Linked DNA regions of Drosophila melanogaster. The protein of the gene in region 1 interacts with the protein of each later gene in a pairwise test. Each region holds a gene or a part of one and is shown in the gene's direction. Other genes may lie near its edges.

Evidence for each region.
Region 2: the proteins of yip3 (region 1) and S6KL interact in a two-hybrid assay, tested with the Drosophila melanogaster proteins (one large-scale study listed by BioGRID).
Region 3: the proteins of yip3 (region 1) and SMSr interact in a two-hybrid assay, tested with the Drosophila melanogaster proteins (one large-scale study listed by BioGRID).
Region 4: the proteins of yip3 (region 1) and CG7409 interact in a two-hybrid assay, tested with the Drosophila melanogaster proteins (one large-scale study listed by BioGRID).

Annotation. Positions count from the first base shown.
Region 1 is NT_033778.4:23,242,920-23,247,346, reverse strand, and holds yip3 (yippee interacting protein 3), read left to right. Parts: upstream 1-1,947; 5' UTR 1,948-2,513; coding exon 2,514-2,530; intron 2,531-2,587; coding exon 2,588-2,695; intron 2,696-2,745; coding exon 2,746-3,202; 3' UTR 3,203-3,303; downstream 3,304-4,427. Other genes in the region: RpL22-like (ribosomal protein L22-like), read left to right, coding at 1-562.
Region 2 is NC_004354.4:18,786,154-18,791,678, forward strand, and holds the start of S6KL (S6 kinase like), read left to right. Parts: upstream 1-2,310; 5' UTR 2,311-2,678; coding exon 2,679-2,936; intron 2,937-4,008; exon of another isoform or gene 4,009-4,156; intron 4,157-4,352; coding exon 4,353-4,462; intron 4,463-4,523; coding exon 4,524-4,740; intron 4,741-4,804; coding exon 4,805-4,928; intron 4,929-4,992; coding exon 4,993-5,091; intron 5,092-5,147; coding exon 5,148-5,306; intron 5,307-5,514; exon of another isoform or gene 5,515-5,525. Other genes in the region: CG6961 (uncharacterized protein), read right to left, coding at 308-389, 446-1,187, 1,245-1,765, 1,828-1,907.
Region 3 is NT_037436.4:7,375,102-7,383,655, reverse strand, and holds the start of SMSr (sphingomyelin synthase related), read left to right. Parts: upstream 1-2,181; 5' UTR 2,182-2,425; coding exon 2,426-3,035; intron 3,036-7,747; coding exon 7,748-8,251; intron 8,252-8,309; coding exon 8,310-8,476; intron 8,477-8,540; coding exon 8,541-8,554. Other genes in the region: smid (smallminded), read right to left, coding at 1-355, 422-762, 821-871, 925-1,269, 1,322-1,445, 1,645-1,701.
Region 4 is NT_037436.4:7,752,000-7,756,009, forward strand, and holds CG7409 (uncharacterized protein), read left to right. Parts: upstream 1-2,409; 5' UTR 2,410-2,530; coding exon 2,531-2,995; 3' UTR 2,996-3,169; downstream 3,170-4,010.

The DNA of each region.
Region 1 (4,427 bases):
CAAAAAGGCCGCCCTGGTGCAAGAAAAGCCCAAGGAACAAGCTGCCGCAGCACCAAAAGCCGAAAATGTCGAGGTTCCAGCAGCCAAAGCTAAAAGTGTAAAAAAGAGCCTCGCCACTCCGGCAAATCCGAAGCCCAAGCCGAAACGCACGAAGAATGTTCTGCGTGGAAAAAGGCTGGCCAAAAAGAAGGCTTGGCAACGCTTTGTGATCGACTGCGCATGCGTGGCCGAGGATATGATCCTGGACCTCGCCGACTTCGAGCAGTATTTGAAGACCCACATCAAGATAAAGAACAAGCTCAACCAGCTGAAGGATCAGGTCACTTTCGAGCGCACCAAGAACTTCTCGCTGATCATCCACTCCGGTGTGCACTTCTCCAAGCGCTACTTCAAGTATCTGACCAAACGGTATTTGAAGAAGGTCAGCCTGCGTGATTGGTTGCGGGTAGTGTCCACGGCCAAGGACACCTTCGCCATGACCTACTTTAAGATTCAGGACAAGGACTTTGATGACGACGACGACGACGTTGCCGACGACAATGGCGGAAAAACCTTTGCCTAAAACAAAGATCGCATTTCGAAAACATGTATATCCCATGAAAGCTGTTCAAGTGTGTAGACTTCTTAAATTTCTCAGTATACTTCTGTTAAATTTCCCACTTGAAGTTTCACTAGTTCTCAATGTGGCTCATACAATTTTTGCTCATTTGCTTCAACATATTCAACGATGAAATATCAATAAAAAAAAAAAAAACCCTAACAAGAGTATATCATATATGTATGTATTCTCATCCGAAGCTGCAGAGTTCCCTTGAAGAACTTAAAGATTTCATTTTACGGTCAGTTAGGAGGAAGGAGCGGAGCGTTCCTCGGTCGAATCGACTTAAACTTGAACGATTGACATCTCGGAGAGGGCCTCGAGTGGCATTCGTCATGTTTTGATTGGGAGGAGCCAGTCTTGTTTTCCTTACCTTTTTACGCTTTTGTAAATACCTTAAATTGCCCCATTGGACGGGATTGTGTTCGATGCCAGGCGGCTTAATTGCTTCGCTGTGGGTCTGCCAAATGGACGAAACCATGGGTGGGGATCAGAGGGTGCTCCTCTGTCAGCAGTTGGCCCGGCCTGGCCGTAGGTGGTCCATAACGAGCTAATGAAATGCGAATCCAGCCAAAATGCGAACAGCGAGGCAGCCCAGTGGAGTGAGTCAGGCAGGCAGCTGTCAAAATCGAAATCAACCTGAGCACTCGCAGGTTGGCTTCTTTTCGACTTGGCCAAAAGAACACAAAGGCTGGGCAAAATATTCACGATTGCCGCCTGGAAGGGAATACAAAGCGAAAATAAACATAAACGTCATGCAAATCGTATGGTAATTGCTGTCATCGCCGACTCTTGTCAAAACGGGTTGAAGTGTTTTGTAAATGCCAGAAAAAATTAAATTCCAGACATGCAGACGAGTACCAATAATAATAATAATAATGTAATAAGGGGCTTGCGATGGGGGGGAAGTCAAGAGTGATCCACACGCGATTATTATTTTGTCAAATGGGAAAACGATATCGGGCCAAAGCAGAGAGAGAACAGCCTCTGTCAAAAGCCAATTGGCCATTGGTAATTGGAATAGGCCTGACATCCAATGGTGATTAAAGTTAATTGAACTAACACCCATAGTTGATAGATGATGGCGTTCTTTGTCAAACCGAATATACCAACGTAAAAAATACTTTAGCATGTGTTAATTAGCATTAACGCTATTTTATTTAATTAATAGTGCACATTTGTATGATGTATTTCACTCCCTTGAAGAGCCACTTTTTGCAGCAAATAGAGCTGGCATTAAAACAAGTATTAATTTTGAACCCTGTGTCAGGGCCTTATTAATTTGAAAGCAAATCCCTTGTGACATGGAATATGAACCGTGCAATCAAGTTGGCTTTTAATTGTGCGTCAAACATTCAGATCCAGAATCTTGGTAATAGGCTCAAATCCACTCCGATTCTAGGTAGGTTGATCCCTGTTCCTGCTTAGGCTAATTAACACATCGATTACATCGTTGCGCGGACAGTGTGTGTCTTTAAATTGATAGGCTCGTTAAAGTGTCTACCATTCCGAGGCCTTCTGGTCTTGACTTCGCCAACTGGTTGGATCTATTTTTAGGGCCAGCAGGTGCAGCTGCCTCGGAAACTGCGCAGAGACGCGTTTCTCGGCCAGTGCCAACCAGTTGGCGAGACCCCATCATCATCATCGCCATCGCCATCTGAAGATCGCCATCCAGCGTAGGTGACGGACAGCCTCGGGCTGCCAATATCACTTACTTTCAGACAATGGATAGCCACACAGGCGTTGACGATTTGTTGGCCTTAATCTACTTGAGCAAATATTAGTTTTGAAAGGTCTTTGTACCCAGCTCAAGTTTATTTTCTACTTCCCAAGCCCTTTTAAAGTTTTAAAGAATCTTTGCAGCTCATTTAACTGGCACTTTTCTGCTCGAACGCTTTTGGGAGTCTATTTGAAAATGATGGAAGGTGAAAGGTGAGTTTGTGACTGAAATCATATATACTTTTACTTACTAGCTATTGATTCCCACAGTTCCAAGTCGATTCAAGGCAACATCGTGGGTCTTAAGAGTACCAACGCCGTGATACTGGCCACCGACTCGAAGGAATACGAAATGTATCTAATAGATGACCGCATTTAGTAAGTCTATTCAATTTGCAATGCCTTAAAATAACTTATTAATTATTCAGCTGCTGCGCACCTCGTTCCGGCATCGATCGGAACATAGTTCTGGAAGTGAGTTCAAAGGTGGCAAATCTAGTCCGGGATCGCGGCCAGAATGTGACCGTGTCCCAGGTGCGGGACATGTTTTGCGAAAAGTACCAGACCGCCGAATCCCCAAATGTCATGATAGCTGGCCAGGACAGCAGGGGCCTTCACTTATTCAGCATGGAGTGTGGAAAGTCACGCATGGTGATGTATGGTGCAAAGGGCAGAGATAAGGAGAACATTGTGGACTTTCTCTCGAAAGACTGGAATGATTTCATAAACCTCAGCGAGGCTGAACAGTTGGCCAGGAAAGCGCTTAGGTGGGAGCACGTGGAAATGTGCACCATCTATAGGGCTAAAGAAATCGAGGAACAAGGTGCCAACATGGACTTCGATATGGACGACGAGACCTCTGTATCGCCGGCCAGCAATTTCTAGATCCTCCTACTATCTACATGTACATAGTAGTTAATTGTATCATTTCGATTTATGTTCATATAAATGAATGGTGGCTGCTCCACTGCCCCCCCCCCCCCTGTAATTAGCCACATTTCTCAGCGTTTTGCAAGTTGGCCTAAAATAGATTAGCCGCTCCTCCCACTGGAAATGGTGCAGCGCCAGCACAAGTGATTTATACTCCTCCGACCTGGCCCTTGGATAATTAATAATGATTAAAAGCTGGCGCCCATCAGCGGGCTGGCAGCTCAGAGTCCTTGTACCCGCTATGGGTATGGATATATAGCTCTATATAGATCCCCACTAACCAGATCCGCTCGTCTGCCTCCGGGGATCTGGGGACTGAGGCGATGTCCAGCTGTGCGGATTAACTTGAATTTATATGTTGTGGCTGCATTTGAATAATTTCATATTCGAGCTGGCAATCGGGATCTCTATCTTTCTCCTCCTCGCCACGCCCCCTTCCTTTGCGTCCATCTCCCCTGTGCGTGACCAGGCTCCATTTTCCCCTACTCCTGCGTCCACTTGTGTGGTCTTCCTCCATTGACAGCTCTTGGGTGGCATTATGCTGTCTGCTCCGGATTTTCACTTTTATGGCCTGCAAACCGGCAGTTGCTAATTGATTTCCACGTAGATTGGACTCGTAGTTAATCGGCTGCTCTTCGGTTTAAACGGAGCTCAAAGGGATATGATATGAGATACTTATACTTTCAGATTAGTATCTTCGTAACTTTCGTTCCATTCCCTTTCCATTTAGCTCGCTTATCTTAATCAAAGCCTTATCACCCTGTGCATTATTTTGGCACATTCAAATTGAAACCCCTTTTTCGGTTGATAAGCAAATATTTCGCCAACACTTCAATCCACTTCCCGCATTTATTAACTTCATTTTCGGTTGTGCTTTTGCCCGAATTCGAAAGTGTCTGTCGAAAATAAAATGTCATTGGCCAAGCGATAAGAAACGAGAGGAACAAGCCGAAAAATCAAACATCAAATATTCCCAATAAATTAAATGCGGCCAGTTCCAAGAAGGACCCATCCTCACTTGTTGGTTTTTTTTTTCAACTGGCATTCAATAATAATTCACTTTCGATGCGGCCAAAAGTTGCGAGGAAGCTGGCCCTGGGGATTCGGGGTGCCTCTGAATGCGGAATCGAGTGGTGCTACCTTGTGATATCTTTATTTACCTCAGTCCAGTCAAAAAAAA
Region 2 (5,525 bases), on another chromosome or scaffold:
AACTGTACATTTTATGAAATATTATACAAGCAATTGTAAAATCAGTTTCTATACCATACATTTTGTTGTGTCTATAGTGGGACTGCTGAATTTCTATGATAATAAGACAAAAATTTTACTCACTAAACACAAAATTCTAAAGTGGACAGACATGGCAGAATTCACTTAAACTAGTCTAGTTTGCTAAACATACGCTGGATGGATCGACTCGAATTTTATAAGCGCGAAATGAAAATGGATTACGTTGTTGAACTAAATAGAAAAAATTATCTAGTTGCTGTAGTTCCCGGGCTCTGCCTCGCACTTCCTAGCGGGCCCTGAAGAGTACCGAGTGAAGTGCATCGATGTCCACCTCCACGCCAGACGAGTTTGTGGTCACGGTGCGAGAGCTACGGCCGAGAACGTTGAACAATACTGCGTGATATCTTTAAAGCATATCACTCACCTGGCCTTGTGCACCGAGCGACGGGAGGAGTGCGGATTGACCAGCACACAGTGCATGGGCTGGTCATCGAACTGACGATGGTGATAGGTATCTACGGCCTTCTCGGCATGTTCCAGTGACTTGTAAATAACTTCGGCGGTGCCGGGACGCACCACACGAGCGTCGTACACTGGGCCGATGTCGCTAAAAAGCTCGCGAATATCCGCAGTAGTCACGTTAGTATGCAGATTGCTCACCAGCAGGCGGTATCCATCCTTTGTGTTCGACGTACGCAGCGACAATGGGGATGGCGAACGGCGCTTGTTCTTCGATGGAGCAGCTGCATCACCATCACTATCAGTACCGCTATCGCTATCACTACCACCACCGCCACCAACAGCCTTTCTCCGGTTCTCGTTGGCGTAGATGCCATGAGAAATGTGAGGATCTCTCTTACCGACAAACAGACGAGACCGCAGCGATTCTGGGAGTTTACTTGTGCTTACTGTGTCGCGGTGGCGGCGCTCGAGAGGCTCCTTGGTGCTATTTGAGCGTCCAACTACGAGTCGGTTGGTCAGCGAAGGACGCTCAATGCGATTGCGGGCCGCCTCGTAAATGGAGAATGCATTGTTATCTATTTTGTTATTTAGTGGGGCCATGGACATCTCCACGTCGTCGCCGCGGTTCAGGTCGAGCCCACCAATTGAGTAGCGTGGCGACGCTTGCTTCATTTGCCCTAAGTGCAGTGTGCGAGATATTTCCTCTGAAAGTAGAAGAGTGCTTTTTAGGAACGGCTTGGCAGAGAAAGGCACTAACTAACCATCCTCGAGGTCCTGCATATTATCAAGATCAATATAGCGTCGTGGAGCAAAGGGTTTGCCCGGCTTATGGGATCTGGGGTCAAAGGTTCGACGCAAGCCGGACAACATGTGGTTACCCAGTTCAACGACCCCGTCGTCCGAGTCCCATTTCGCCTGAATGGTGCCGTCCGCATGGTTTGACATGCTAAGGCGGTGACCAAACTGACCGATGTGCACTCCCTTTCCGCGTGCGCGATGTGATGGCTCAAACGACTCTTCTTCGTCATCAATAAGTATTGGGCCCGCCGAACGGGCCTTCTTTCGCTCCAGCAACAGTTGGCGGGCATCGATGCCCGAGTCGCGCACGCTCTTGTTGATCAGATCCCGAGCATCGGCTATCTTGGCCCGTGTCTTCGCGGCAATCGTGTTTCTGGCATCGAAGGTGCGCTTTGCCGGCATATCAGAGTGAGATCCTCGTGCACCCGATGGCTTGAAAAAAGGCTTGTTCAGCAGCTGGCGCGGCTTGGAGAAGTTCGCATTGCTGCAATGGAAAACGCATTGAGTGACATTATATTTTTTCGGCTGTCCTGTAAATGTACTTACAACTTTCTGTCGAGGGGACGATAGCCGCGTTGCCCGCGCTTCCGCTCTATAATCTCGTCCAGACTCAAATCGATGTCCATGGCTCGCAGTATACGCTTTTCACACCCTTTCCTAAGCTATGTTTGAAGTAAAAACAACCAGATTCAAATTATCCTGACTATTCGAGCTACGTTCGTAAAAAAAATAGGACTGGCGTTTCACTGGTGACACTTGGGGTCGCCAACTATCGCCCGGCATTATCGATAGCAACTATCGCTTATTAACATTTTCGTGATGCTGGAAATAAAATGTAAAATAGAAACAGCAATATACTAACACTAATACAAATATACAAATAATACTATTAACTATTTGTTCATTCACAAAAACAGTTTTTGCATGTCTTAACATTAGTTTGTAGAAGATTGAAAATTCTCAGAACTGACAATGGTAGCTTAGAATACATAATACGTTTTATCCACTGACATTACGCGCCACTAATTCACAGTGTGCCCCTTCGCACAGCCGAGAACAATCGCGCTTAGGTGCTAGCCGACGTCTGGTCTGGTCACACTGCTACCTGCACAACAACAACAACAACAACACACTGAAAAACAGCAAAATAGAGCCAGCCTTAGCTACCAAATATTTATATTAGAATTTCAGCTACCCCAACTGCGAGTGCGCGCTTTTTACTGCGATTTTTTGGCTGCCCCTCACGCGCACGCACACGAACAGTGATTGCGCAATTCCAGTGGAACGAGTGGAGTGTGGTGGTGTGCGGTGTGTGTGTGTAAACAACAAGCGGACGACAAGGAAACAGAAACCGAAACAGAAACAACGGGAATTGATTGGGACGAGTGGAGCTTTTGATGGGCAACTCGCAACCGCGTAATGCAAGCAGAAGCAGAAGGACATCCCAGTGGCCACAAGGCGCAGCGGAACTAGGCGCCTCAGCCAGCGATCACCACTACCACCAGGAGGAGCTGTATCAGGAGCAGCAGCAGCAGCAACAACAGCCGCAACAGGAGCAACCGAGCAGCAGGAGAATCCAGTTCCAGGCCCACACCAACCAGCCAACACAGTCGCATCCTCCGGGCGACGAGGAACAGCCTGTACAATCACAGCAGGTAATGAGTAAGAAAAGTCGCAAGTGGGTGGTGGGTGGACGTTGTAGTATATGTGTAGGACAGGCTGATAAGGCAACCCATATATGCGCGTATAAACATACATTCGTACTTATGCACATATGTATGTACACTTTGTTGGCCATGTTTTCCCTCGTCAGCGCGAATAAATACTGCGTCATTAATGACATTAATGGGTGCTGGGTTCGCGTTTTCCCCCTTTCAATTACGTTGCGGCTTTTGACCCCTGACCCCCCACGAAACCCACTCTTCCTCGCGCCGCCCCACAGGCAGCACGTGTGTGGGCGCTCTTTTCCGCACTTTTCAAATGCCCCAAGTATTTCCGCATTCGCATACGACTTTCATGGCCATGCCAATTGAGCCTCCCGCTGCGCAAATTCTGGCTCCCCCTTATCAAATCCACCCGTCCACGTGCTCCCCCCTCTGTTTTCACTTTATGAATCTGGGGATCGCACAGCCCACGCGTAGATCCAGATCCACAGATCTGTACATTATGCTCCATACGCGTGTGTGTAGCCATACGGAATGGAATGGTGACCCTCAAGCAAAGAAACTCTGGCCACAGACGCGGGCTAGCATATGGGAACGACTTGTGGAAAAGCGTTTAGAAAATGAGATAAGACTTCGCATGCCGAAAACGTATTTAGTTCTCAGCAGTAGTTTATTAAAGATTTTTCACGTCAGCAATCTATATTAATAGATAAAAAAATTTTTGCACACAAAAAGCTCATAGCTCCATTATTTTTCAAAATATGGTTTAAATCAACACTTTTGGTTTGAAAGTTACCTAATAGCGAAACCAATTTAAATTCACTGTTTTACTCGGGTTTGCCTAAAAATGGCCTTATTATTTAAACTAAAAATCAGCAATTTAATGAAAAAAAACTAACTTTTTACCAAGAATGTGTCATAGTGATTGAGAACATTGAAAACATATGATCACTCTCGGTGGACACCACTGTATAGTCGATTTGCTCTCTCGCTCTCTTCTGCGTTCCGTTCCCAGCTGTTCGATCATCGGTGGCGTTGTTTGTTTGCAAATATTCAGAGGCCCATAACGCACGTGTCGTCGCCAAGGGAACATCGCAAAACCGTCTCCTACGCCTCCGTAGAAATTCATAGATTGCTAGAAAGTGTTCTGGGAATTCATTAGCTTATTTTTCCGGTGGAAAGGGCTGGGATAAGCGTTGAAAACAACGCAGGTAAGCCGTAATAAATCCGCTGAGCCCGTTTCAGGCCGTTTTGTTGGCTTCAGCACTGGTCATTCAGTATACAGGCAGTCCGCCGCGTGTTCAATATAAAATTAACTTACATATGTACATATACATGGGATAGATAGCAGTGAAGGGCGAGAATTGTGTACTGAACACCAAAACCTAATGGTCTGTCTTGTTTCAGCAACAGCTTTCCACCTGGAGTCTTGGCAGCCTTAGCGGAGGACGACTCAACTGGAGCTTCTCCGGTGCCCGCAACTCATTTCGTCATCGAAACAAGGCCACGCGAAAGAGGTAGAATCGCATTGATCGCCCCTTAAGTTTCCGTAAATAATATGCCAACTCTTGCTTGCAGCTTGACCTCACTTCATGGCTCTCGTCGTGGCAAGACTCAGTGGCACCGACCTCTGACCAACTCAATCTTCAACTCGCACTTTAAGGAGACCAGCAAGAACGATCTGTACCGTATCGATCATTTGGTGGCCAAGGGAGCCTTTGGCGTGGTCTTCAAGGTGTCCAGCAAGAGTGACATTAGTCAGTGCTACGCCCTGAAAGTGCTAAAGAAATCAAAGGTTGTTAAGCATTCGGTTCGGATACTGGCAGAGATAAAATAACTCCCCTACTTTTTTTATACAGCTCATCGAAGACAACAGTGTACGGCAGATAAAGGACGAGGCGGACATTCAGAAGGTTTGCGGCCATCATCCGTTTATCGTGAAGCAAATAGATCTGTGGCAAAACCGCCACAACCTCCATATTCGTGCGTTGAGATAAAACTATACTAACGATTTTATGTGTATACTAAATACTCTAATCCACTGCAGTATCGGAGTACGTACCCAACGGCGAGTTGTTCTCAAAAATAACTCACTTCTCCATTGATCTGGTTCGTTTATACATTGGCGAGATAGCACTTGCCTTGGGTGAGTAAAAGAGGTCTTAGGCCAGCAAACCAATATCTCACGTACGCTCTTTTTAGATTTTCTCCACAACGCTGGGATTATATATCGTGATGCGAAGCCGGAGAACATCCTGCTAACTGAACAGTTTCACATAAAGCTAACCGACTTCGGCCTTAGCAAGTGGCTCAAACTGGGGGCAAACACGCGCACCATGTGTGGCACTTTCAAATACATGGGTACGATCTAATCCAACTTAAACATACAAACACTTAAGAAATAGATTTAGCTGTTAAGAGGCGTGCCGATCCATCGCAATCCAAATCGTTCAAAGGTATTTTCGAAAAGAAAGCCCATCAAAGTAACTTAGAAGAAAAAGGGAACAGAGCAGTATAGGAAAATAGAGCATATATAACAACCTGTTACTCTAGGATACTAATATTTAAGCTATAAAACAA
Region 3 (8,554 bases), on another chromosome or scaffold:
CTTTCCGCGATGGGATGTGTATGGCAATTTCGTGATCGAAGCGACCGATGCGACGTAGTCCAGGGTCGAGGACATCGGGACGCGTGGTGGCCGCTATGACGACTACTGATTGGCCAAACTCGTTGGCCTTCAGGTTGTCCAGACTGCTTATCAGCTGCGAGACAATGCGACGTTCCATATCCTTGGACGCCCACTGACGATTTCCTCCGATGGCGTCGATTTCATCGATGAAAAGCACACAAGGCGAGTAGCCAATGGCCTGGTCAAAGACCTCGCGAATCCGTTCTTCCGACTCACCAGAGATGCCACCAATTAGCTCTGTGGCCGGAATTTCCATTAGAGGCATTTTTAGTTGCTGTGTCGTAAAGCAGAGATGATTAATATATGAATTAACGATTCAATGTTCATTTATAAAACTCACCCCGCTAATGGCACGAGCAAGAAAGGTTTTGCCACAGCCTGGCGGCCCATGAAGCAATAAACCTCTCGAAGGCAATAGACCCAATTGAAAGTAGAACTCCGGCGACTTAATATGGATCAGCATTTCACACAACTCCTTAAGAGTGCTATCCATGCCACCAATGTCCCGGAAACTTTCCGTTGGGTGCTGCACCTCCAGATCCCTTTTGAACTTCCGAAGGCGATCGCGACTTTGGTTTTGGTGCAACTGCTGATATAAGCCAGGCACATTACGGTGATCTTTGGAACGCGGAACGGCGTCCTCTGAAAGATTTTTCGCTCTGTTGCCCACAACTTGGTGCACTAAAACAAAAAGTTTAGGTTTCATTGATTTTACAAAAGTATTTAAAAAAAAACTCACGCTTTTGAATGGCCTCCGAACTGCTAACGTGAATAGTATTCGGTTTAGCTACTAATGAAGAATGTCATTTAACCAAGTCATAGACTAATGGATTGATAACCCACCTTTCTTTGCAGCCACTGCGATCTCCGGCACTTCCTCCATCAGGCGTTTCAAAGCACTGCCCTGCACTGCTGGAGTAGGAGGAGGAGGAGCAGCAGCAGCAGCTACCCCATCTCCGTTGGTGGTTTTTGTATTGGAGTCATCTTCGTTCTCGTCTCCACTGGATATATCGATGGGCTCGCTGATTGGCTTGGGCGCCAGCGGCTTTCTTGGTTGACTATACAGGCTGTTCATCATATTGTTCATCACACTATTCGTGGGTGGTGGCTCGGAGTCCTCGCTAACACAATCTTCCTCGGAACTGCTTACCTTGTCCAAGTTATAGCTTTCCGAAATGATCGAGAATGCTGTAATAGAAATATTTGTTAAAAACAAATAACCACAATGTTCCATGTTTACCTTGGTGCACCAGCTGTCTGAATGGTCCGAATTTGCGTCGTGAATATTCCGGATACTTTTGCATCAACTCCCTGGTCATCTGTTTCACATCCAGGTAGGTTTCCCCGATGTGCTCCTCCAGATACTGAAATCGAAAGTAGAACGCAATTAGCACACGATGCGGGTAGCCTGCGACCTAACCTTGTTTTCCCTTGCCCAAAATCGCCGCCCTGCAAAGGGTTTTTGTGTGTTTTTTTTTTTTTTTTTGTGCTGCTTTCATGGGAATTTACCGGCTATCGGGCAGCTGGCTAGTTTGTGGATATAAACAACGGATTTGGACACACCTTCTTTACTCGGATCGTTATTAGATGGTCGTGCAGCAGCGGCTTGGCTTTCTTCATATTATTCGAGGATTACTTCTGTCTAGACATTCGCACGAGGACAATTAAATCACTTTGCCGCTCGCAAAATGCTAACGAAGCGAAGCTGTGGCTTCGATATCTTCGCTTTGGAGGCCGTTTCCACTCTTCCACATTTTCACCATGGTTTCGTATATATCGAACGAGATTTATATCAGTCAAGCGTTAATATTTAAATAATTTCTACTCGCCAGACACCTCAAATTGTTTTATTTAAAATAATATTAAGCTAACGATAAGAGTTTTAAACCTTTTGACTTTTACGAGAGCGAAATTCTCGAAAATTTTTCGGTGTGAACACGCAGTTAAGACCGAAGTAACTGTTCATCGATAGCGTTGGCGTTGTCCAAAAACTATCGATGGCCGAAGTCAGCTGTTCGGCCTTGTTATCTCGCTCCCGCCCCCAGCATAGTTGCTGACTCCGCTCTGCTCTCTCGCTTGCTCTCTGAACGGAACAACTGAGTAGTCTGAATTTAACAAGTAACCAAACCAAAAATTAAATGTGCTTTTACATCAACAAACGCTGGACGCGCAATAAGTGAGGTGTTAATTATGCGCCGCAGCAGCAACAGCAGCCAGCAGTGAAAAAATGTTGCACTCCATCTGAGTTCGGCCGCACAATTGTTTTGGATTTTGGATAAATCGCAAAATTGGAACGAATAAGAAACAGCCAGAAGAACATCGAACGGAAAAAAAAGAAAGCGCGATGTGCGACGGTGAAATTGGCGATCCGGTGACTCAGCCACGTTCCGAGGGCGGTGGATTGGTCACAATGGATCAGGAGACCCGGACGCACTACCTCGACGCGGCGACAGATAAGCACCTGACCAATGGATCGCCAGATCCAGAGCCCGTGGATCCGCTACTCGTGGCCCAGTGGTCCATCGAGAATGTGACCAGTTGGGCCACCTGCATGGAGCACTTTTCGAGAACACTGCTCGACTGCCTGCGCCAGGAGGCCATCGACGGCGAGGTGCTGCTCTCCCTCACCGAGGAGGATGTACGTGATATGCGCTACAAACTGGGCTACAAACTCACCTTCGGCGAGCTCAAGAAATTCTGGATAGCCGTGCTCAAGCTGCAGCTACTGGTGAAGAACAGCTCTGCGGAATCCGTAATACTGGGCATCGAGTGCCATGGGAACGGGAACTCGGTATACATGCCACTAGCCAGCACCGGCTGCGGTCCACCGTCCTCATCCACGTGCCCCTGTCCGCAGGCCGAATGCCCCAGCTATGTGTCCGATTGCGATACCTATTTGCGCATGGGCGGACGCTATGTTCCGCCGGAATACTTCAAGACCGCCATGAGCTTAGGTGAGTGGTCCACAACCTGCCCCCCTTCAATTACGAAGGTCAATTGTCCATTGATTGCTTCGGCGGGCTTATCGGTCGTGTGCCAATTCTCGAGAGCTTTTCGCTTTTCTCTATATAGCGCAGTTCAGGCATATACTTTCCTTGCGATAGCCGAGAAGTAAGAGGTTTCCCCATGGGTATGACTATTATGTAGTATATATATAGTAAAATTGTTGTTTTATTTATGAGTCGAACTAATGTCCCGTCAGTTGACTAAGGACAACGCCAAGAAATAAAAAATAGTTTTTAGGAGAAATAGTTTCACGACTTTATTCTTTGGATCTCAGCTTAAGACTAAAAATCAAATGCAAATTGGATTGAGGAGAAGCCTCAGTATTTGAACAATATTTGTATTTCGGGAGAGCCTCGCTCTTGGGTTCTTAAGATTAGGTAGCGTTGAAAGAGGGCAGTCAAATCTGCTTAGGTCAGGCTTTAGGATGTTTACAAGAACGGCTGCGCTGCCAAAGATAAACGAATGCTGCGCAGCTGGGATACGTTATGGAAAATTACTAGAGTGCATTACTGATTTCTTTGAAATAATGGAAGTGGCTGGTTTGGACCACCCAAATACGTCACTCCCCTTCCCTTAAAGAGAAGCCTATACTTGGGCTGGGATTGATGGATATAGTGTGGGAAATGGAGTTTCTTCTATTTCTGTTTGTTGTGGTGTGTTTTGATTTTGATTTTTTCTTATTTTAAGTTTTGCATACAGCATCATAAATGGTTTAAATGATACATATCTTAAATATGAGTACAACAAAATTAGTGCGATTATTACAATGATCATTTGTATGTAAAGTGTAATATTGTTCTCTGAAATCATCTCAACAATGTCGTTGTGTTTTACAATTTTTATTTTTGTTATATTAAGTGGTGTGTATAGTGGTGTCAAATCTATTTCTGGTTCTAACAGATTTTCACTTAAAATTATATTATTGATTTCTATTTTGCATTGCGTTACTCTTATCATTTTGTTTCCTTCTATTTTTATTTTATTAATTGAATTTTGGCAATTTTGGTTAAGAATTGTTTGGGTTAAGTTCCAGGTTACAATTGTGTTTGGTTCTATGTATTTTATTATTTCGTTCGTGTGTACTGGCTTAAAATTACAAATTGGATTTAAGTGTTTAATAATATTGGTGACACATTCATTTTTTACTTCTTTATTTTCGGTATTATAAACTTTATTTTCTTTTTCAAAATATGATTGTGTGTCTGTGTAATCTAGCTGATAGCCGTTGGAGTCTGGGTAAGGAATTATTTTAATTGTGCTTATTAGTGAAAGGTAAATGGGTATGTGGGATATGATTAATACTTGGTTATCATTGTAGTTAATCCAAGTGGATGTTTTAATGTTCAAAATGTTTTGGCTGTTCACATTTTCAAGTTTGTCGTAGTTTAGTAATTTGGGGTTAAACAGTCCAAGTCTGGAAAGCTGCATAGCCATTTCCAAATCTTCTATGTATTCCGTAAACTGCATTAGTTCGAACAAAAGACTGTCAATGATGGTGTGGTTATTTTCATAATTCTGTATTTTTTTGCATTCCGTCATTTATCAATCGTATGGCGTCGTTGAGTTCATGTAATTTTACTGAGTTATGGACGTTGATTTCAAGTTTTTTCTGTATTTCGACTCGATCATTTTCATCTAGTGTTCCAAATAGGTATTTAAAACCTGAACCCACAATGTTAATAAGACCCCGTTTGTTTCTATGTTTCAGGGTTATTCCGGCTAGTTCTCTTTTTATTTTATTGTATAAAAAATTGATCTGGGGTGCATGGTAATCGGTTCGTAGTCTTTGCTCAAAATAGTCAACCACGATGTCTATTTCAGTTAAATTGATTTTTAAGGAGTGATGTTCAAAGGAGGATGGTATCTGTACTGGCTTATCAGAAAAAAGGAGATATCCGTGGTTGGTGTCAATATTATTAATTTGAATTTGTTGTCCATGAACAGCTGTGATCAGTATAAACAATAGTGTTATCGGGTACCAGGTGCCTTCCAGGTGTAGTTTCGAAATTAGTAATTGACGTCGTCTCTCCGCTTCTTCGCAGAATGCTCTTAGGCTTCCTCTGTATGGTGTCTCCCTGAAGTTCTCCAGAAGTTTGTAGTTTGGTGTTTGAATTTTAAATTCCGCGATGAGTCTTGCTTTAAGGGTAGGCCAATCTTCGATGTTCGGAAGTCCCAAAGATCGTGTAATTTGTCCGTCCAAGTTCCTTTCGATGGCTCCCAGTAGAATCCTCTGTTGTCGGACATCATTTGTTTGGTAGAGCGAAATTACGTAATCCACTCTGCTGATAAAGGTGTGAAGGGTTTCTGGATCACCCTTGAATGGCATAATGTCTTTAAGCTGCCGACGGGCTTCGGCAAGGTTTATGTCGCTCAGCGCAATAATTGGTTGTGACATTTTTATTGTAAAATTTTTAACTTTTGTGTTTTATTTTTTTGTTTTGTTTCGGATTCAATGTTATTATTATTTTTAAGCTTTCTAGTTTCACTTGTTTGTTTTTTTTTGTTTTGTAAATTTTTGTGTTGTATTATTAAAATTCTATATTGTTTTAATTTTTTATTTTTATATGTTGGTTTTAAAACTTAGTTGCCTTTGGACTTAATATTTTTGTTTCGTATTTCACTTCCACTTATTATTGGATAACCGAATTGGAATTATAATCCAAGTTGAAGAGTTTTCACGAATTTATTTTGGGAGATGTTTCGAGCACTGGACTATAAAATTTAACTTATTTTCCACTCGAAGGTTCTTTTTTTCGGATACTTTTGTATCCTACCGACTGCGCCAGTAAAATTGTTGTTTTATTTATGAGTCGAACTAATGTCCCGTCAGTTGACTAAGGACAACGCCAAGAAATAAAAAATAGTTTTTAGGAGAAATAGTTTCACGACTTTATTCTTTGGATCTCAGCTTAAGACTAAAAATCAAATGCAAATTGGATTGAGGAGAAGCCTCAGTATTTGAACAATATTTGTATTTCGGGAGAGCCTCGCTCTTGGGTTCTTAAGATTAGGTAGCGTTGAAAGAGGGCAGTCAAATCTGCTTAGGTCAGGCTTTAGGATGTTTACAAGAACGGCTGCGCTGCCAAAGATAAACGAATGCTGCGCAGCTGGGATACGTTATGGAAAATTACTAGAGTGCATTACTGATTTCTTTGAAATAATGGAAGTGGCTGGTTTGGACCACCCAAATACGTCACTATATACATATGCATATCTAGATAAGAAGCTCTGGCATATGGCAGTTAACTTTCAAAGGAAATAATATATTATATAAACCTCTGCTCCATTTTATCAGACTTTTGCTATCATTTGCCTTAATAATCCCAACAAGCTACGAAAAAATATCATACATATCACACTTTGATCTTTTTAAACATTAAACATTTAGTTCTTGTCATGTCTGCCAGCATTAATAATTCTAAAATTCTGTAACCAGAAATAAACGCTTTCCATGTGAGAAACATTGCTTTAATTAGTAAATCTAATTCTAGAGTATATCACTCAATCCAATCACTACCTCAGCGATAGGCCAATAATAATGGTTTCAATGTCACGCGTGTTATAAATGTTTAATCAGACCATACGTCATTAAATCCCATTTATAGTTTCTGTACTACTACCTATTCTACGAAAGTAAACGAATTTACCTTCGAGTTCATGGGTTCATTAGCTATGACTTCTAGAGATACGTCACACTCTAAGTTTAATAATGTTTACTGGTCACTGGCGACGCGTTACTATTATTTATTTTGAGCACTTCGGAGGTTATTTGTGTAGACGCCGCTCGCATTTATTTGTGTACTCATATGCCTCTCATTCTGGCTAACTGGTTTTGTTATTTTTGTGTAACTTTGCGTGCATTAAATTTCAAATTCCCATTTGTTTATGATACCCTTCAAACGGCTGGTTTTACTTAACGGGTAAATTTTCAAAAAATTGAACGGCAAAGGAAAACCTAAAAACAGTAGCCAATCGAGTGTTGAATTTTATGTATTATGTTATGTATTTATTTATCTATCTGACAAGTTTTAGCTGATTATTCAAAAAAGGATTGTTCTGTAAAATAATGTTTCACTTGAGTTATAATATTTAAGTGATCAAAGTTCAAACGAAACAATGGGCTTATCTAGGCTAATTTGCTATCAGTGGCTTTTTATTTCGATAATGCATTTATCATTACAGACTATGCTTGTTTTTCTATTGTCATGGCCATTTCAATAGATAAGTCTACATTTTGGCAGATAAAGCTGCTGAAAGATAATTCTTTTGGTAGTAAATATTACACTTTTATCACTTTCGGAACGGGGTCAAACACACTACCAATAATAATACGAAAATAAAATGGTTTCCTTTTCTTTGTTAAAAGGTTTCCGCATTATATACTAAATTATTATACAAACAAAGATGACTATCAGAATAAAGTACATACGTTTATTTGCTCTGATATCTCAAGTTTAGTCATCATTGTGATTCAACTTCATAAATTCGACATCTTGAGATCAATTTGAAATACAAACGTTTTTAGAAATTATATATAGAGAGTTTATAGATTATGGTTGCAAATGACCGATTCCATAACTATTTTTTTTCCGCCTGCTGAGCCAAATTAGTCACACTCTAAATCCGCATGGTAACATCATATTTTTTGTACCATCAACAGGCTACTCGTTCGTTGTCACCTGGATAACATCGTTAACAATGGTTATTGTGCACGAGCGGGTTCCGGATATGAAGCGCTATCCGCCGCTGCCGGACATCTTCCTGGACAACGTGCCGCATATTCCGTGGGCCTTTAATATGTGCGAAATAACCGGCTCACTATTGTTCACCATTTGGGTGGTCGTGCTAACCTTCCACAAGTATAGATTGGTCCTACTGAGGCGATTCTTTGCTCTGGCGGGCACGGTTTTCCTGCTGCGCTGCGTCACCATGTTGATCACGTCGCTGAGCGTACCGGGAACGCATCTGCAGTGCAGCCAGAAGGACTTTGCCATCGATGATCCCAATGTGGACATGGTGGGCGCCTTGATTATCCGCATGTCACGAGCCTATCGCATCTGGAGCGGCCTGGGCATGTCCATTCAGGGAGTGCGGACCTGCGGCGATTATATGTTTAGTGGTCACACGGTGGCCTTGACCCTGCTCAACTTCTTTATCACAGAATGTGTGTTATTTATTTATATTTCCTATGCTGCTTACTGACTTACACTCTGATCTTTCAGACACGCCGCGGAATCTGTACTTCCTGCACACGCTGACCTGGCTGCTCAACATGTTTGGCATATTCTTCATCCTGGCTGCCCACGAGCACTACTCCATCGATGTGTTTGTGGCCTTCTATATCACCTCACGTCTGTTTCTGTACTATCATACTCTAGCAAATAACAGGGTGAGCATTTAACAGCTTCGTTTTTGTTTAGAAAGGGCATTCTAATAATAATTTATTTCCACAGGCTCTCATGCAAAG
Region 4 (4,010 bases), on another chromosome or scaffold:
GCTCCTCGTCGTCCTGTCTTTTTCTCCGACTTGAACTTTTGCTTTCGTTTTGCCCATACTTTTGTGTTTTTCCCCTGCCACAGATTGCCCCGTCTTCTCCTTGGCAGGCGTCGCATTGCAGTGGCCTGTTGGCCAGGTCGAATGCACCTGCTCCTGCACCTGTTTGTTGCCCTTTTGCGGCTGAATGTTTAGTGTCTCGGGGGCCATTTATAGTTACGCTCGACTTCATCGCGCGGCGACTTCATTTGCCACGTGAGCGATGTACCTTATTGATTTCCGAGACTTAATTTGCTTGCCATTTTAAACTACAGCTATTACTCATACGCCACGTTCGCCATGACCGTCTTAAACTTTTGTAGCATACTTGTAGGCTGAATAAGTAATAAGTAATATTTAAAATATTTAAGAATTCATCTCTCTTTTGTGTATATGCAGTCATCTGTTTCCTATCCACGTCCATTGGCACCATGTTAAATGACTAAGTTCATTCCCGTGCTATTGCTGAAAACGATTTAAACATATATAACCATAATCATGAAAATCGGGGGAATGACCTCCCTGTGGGAATTAAGAATGGTGAAGGTCGCGGTGGGTGTGTTTTGCTAATGATGTTTACGATTATAGAAAGTCATCTCTTAGATAATGCCCCACACACAATCGATGCCAAAGAAAGTTGTGCACAACCCACACCCACAGGGATTCGATTCTGATTTTCATTCGATTTTGCCATAAAGTCAAGCAAATTAGTAAATTGCTTTGTTTTGGTCTAATGTATTGTTGTTCCGCCAGCTGCGGCACTTCAATTGGTTTTCAATCGGGAATTTTCTCTAGACTTGACACTCTAGACACTGATAATACAAAAAATAAGTATAAATATATAAATATTTAAATATTAAAATTTAACTATTAAATTTTGTTCGTACGGATTTTAAAGATGTTAAATACTTATTTAGCATATGTGACTATATTTATAACAAATAAGAAATTGGGTAATATAATTTATAAGAACAACGATAATAAATACTTTTTACTTACTTATTATAATATTAATAATAATATTATTTCGAACTTGACACAACGTATCTATTTGTGTGCCTTCGACTGTCTTACGATGTGCTGCATTACAAACCTATTGAACTAGTCCGATGGCAAATGACTTAATGTACAAATACATGCTTAAATGCCATCTAAATTGCGAAACTGCGAAGCTTGTTATAATTATTATAAAACACACACAAAATCTAATGCCAGAATAGCAATAACAACACCGACGGCTGGAACAACAAATTACAGCGACATATGGGGTGGGCCAATCCCAATCCGATGATTGTGTTACGTTACGGGCACGGGCTTTATAAAGAGGGGCAGGCAGGTCAGGCCCATAAATGTTCCGTAGATGTCGCATCCATCGACTAATCGTCAAAAAAATCGTCAAAATTTTTTTTACAAATTGCCCTTTTGTCATGACAAACTCAATCCCCCTTTTATGTTGCTGTATCTATAGATTGTGTATCTGTAATCCGCGTATCTCTGTTAATTTCTATCGTGTACAAAATTTAAAGCCGAATTTGGTCAAAAAGTGAAAAGAATCACATCCGTCAAAGAAATGTGTTGGTTTTTATTTGGGCTTGCTTTGATTTTGTTTTTTAATTTGCAAACGGAAGCAAAGAGTAATTAATTTCAAAATACGAATTCTGCCAACATTTTTTGGAATGTTTCCACCGTTTTTAATGCGTTGCCGATATGGGAGAATGATTTGGTAAATGAAAGAGAAAAACATAAACAAATAAGGACACGCAAACATCTGCATCATTGGAAAGCAAAATATGTATTTGTTGGATAAAAAACGAAAAATTTTCAGCATATAAAGATTTTTATTTCAAATCTACTGAATAATTAGCAGGTTAGCAGTACCTTTGGAGAACCGCTGAAAATTTATAGCCTCTACGGAAACTAGTCTGCAAATCAACCCACCCAGCATATGATCTCGAAGCGCCTCAAGGAAATAACATGCAAAGGCATTTTTTCGACCCACAGCCCCATTTCCTTATATACAAGCGTCAATGCAAAGATAAACAATCGAAAACATCGCCCAGTTTTAACGCCACTGTAACTGCAACTGGTGCACTGCGGTAAAAAAATCGATGAATTATATTTAGAGCATTTATTAAAAATTTTATAACTTAAATTTCATAATCACACAACGTTTCAGATGTAAAAACTATATTTAAGATGCAGCAGCTTGCCGTATTTTTTGAATTCCTAACTGGGATGCCGCTTTTTTTTTTGAACAGTGTGCCTACTACGTCACAACTGTCATTGGCTATTGACTAGAATCTGTGTTGAGCCGAGCTGATCCCACGGGGCGAAGCTTATGGCTATATAAGCGTCGACTACTATCGTTTCCAAGTTTAATTTGCTCAGAGCAGAAAACGCGAGTGGACGTCTATCAGAAAGCGCGATAAGTGGAAAGTAAATACAAACTAGCGTTGCTGTTGGTCCTGTCCTAAGGAATAATAACTACCACAAAATGGCTCTTGTCCCGGCTACAAACAATACGGATTGGGATTACTGGGATTACCGTCGTCGGCTGTGGCGCGATTGGGATTTGAACGACTGGGACTTGCCCTACTGGAAGCGATCACTATCTCGCGTTGGATCCGCACCCGATCTAAGTCGGGTAATTGTCGGAAAGGATGGTTTCGAGGCCAATGTGGATGTGCACCTGTTCAAGCCCTATGAGATTAGCGTGAAGACCTCAGGCGACACTGTGGTCGTGGAGGCCAAGCACGAGAAGCGACGTGATGGTGACACCTTCGTGGGTCGCCACATCGTCAAGCGGTTCGTCCTGCCCCGAGGATACTATCCCAACGATGTGCGATCGGAACTGTCGTCCGATGGCATACTTACCGTCAAGTGTCCGCCGTATTTGACCAACGAGCGGAGTGTGTACGTCCGCCAAGTGGGTCCTTCGTATCTAAGCATCAAGAACTAATCACAGTCTATAGCATCGTAACTCCGTGTTTTGTTCTTAGTTACTTTCTGTTGGAGCTAAAATTAAGACAAAAGTAATGCACATATTTCTAAGACTAGAATTGGACTCTTTTTGTTATTAACAAAGCAACGTTTGTTTAGTTAAATAAAATAAAAGTTTAATTTATTAATAATGAATTCAGACTATCTTATTTGGCAGTGGTTTCATTCCTTTTCTTTTCCCAACCGCCAGCGGATGTGTTCAACTTGACTCGAAGCTTTAAAACAATGGCCAAGAAGATGTCAACATAAATTGACTCAAGTCGTACAAAGAGAGAAAAAGCCATCGTCTGACCAAACAAACAAGTATCCGCTCGAATATAGTCAGTATCTTCCGAGCATTCTTACCCAGAGTATCTTTCATATGGGTAAACACTACGCCCTCGAGCGATTTCCGTAATTTGCCAACTAAGGTTAACTTCAAATGTAAATGGGCCAATAAACAACAACAGCTTTGAGCCAAAACCTACACGTAGAAGTTACACATGTGCTCCACCTGGAAATAGCCAGAAAATAGAGCTGGGAAAATTAATCTAGTTTAAATTGACCATAGAAAGTAACGAGAATCACGCGCACACAATATTTCTACAAAAGCATGGGATATTATATATAGTTATGTATATTTTAAAGAATTATCTTCTAAATATAAATATTCTTGATCTAGAAGACATGAATAGCAGCAGTTCCCCAAAAACATGTGTTTAAAAAAAGAAAAGAAGGCACGGTTTTTAAGCATATGCTATCATTATACAACAAAAATTGATTGACTACAGAAAAACTTGCCTCTGACATATTGCTTTTCCTTATCATAAGGCTACGGGTGAGAGATACCCTCTAATTACATTTGAACAGGAAATCAAATACATATATGAACATTCGGTCTAAAATCCAAATCTAAAGAGAACATTTTGGAACGGTACGAAATGTTTACCTACATTTAATGTATTTGTTTGGGTCTTTATCTAATGAACAGTCAA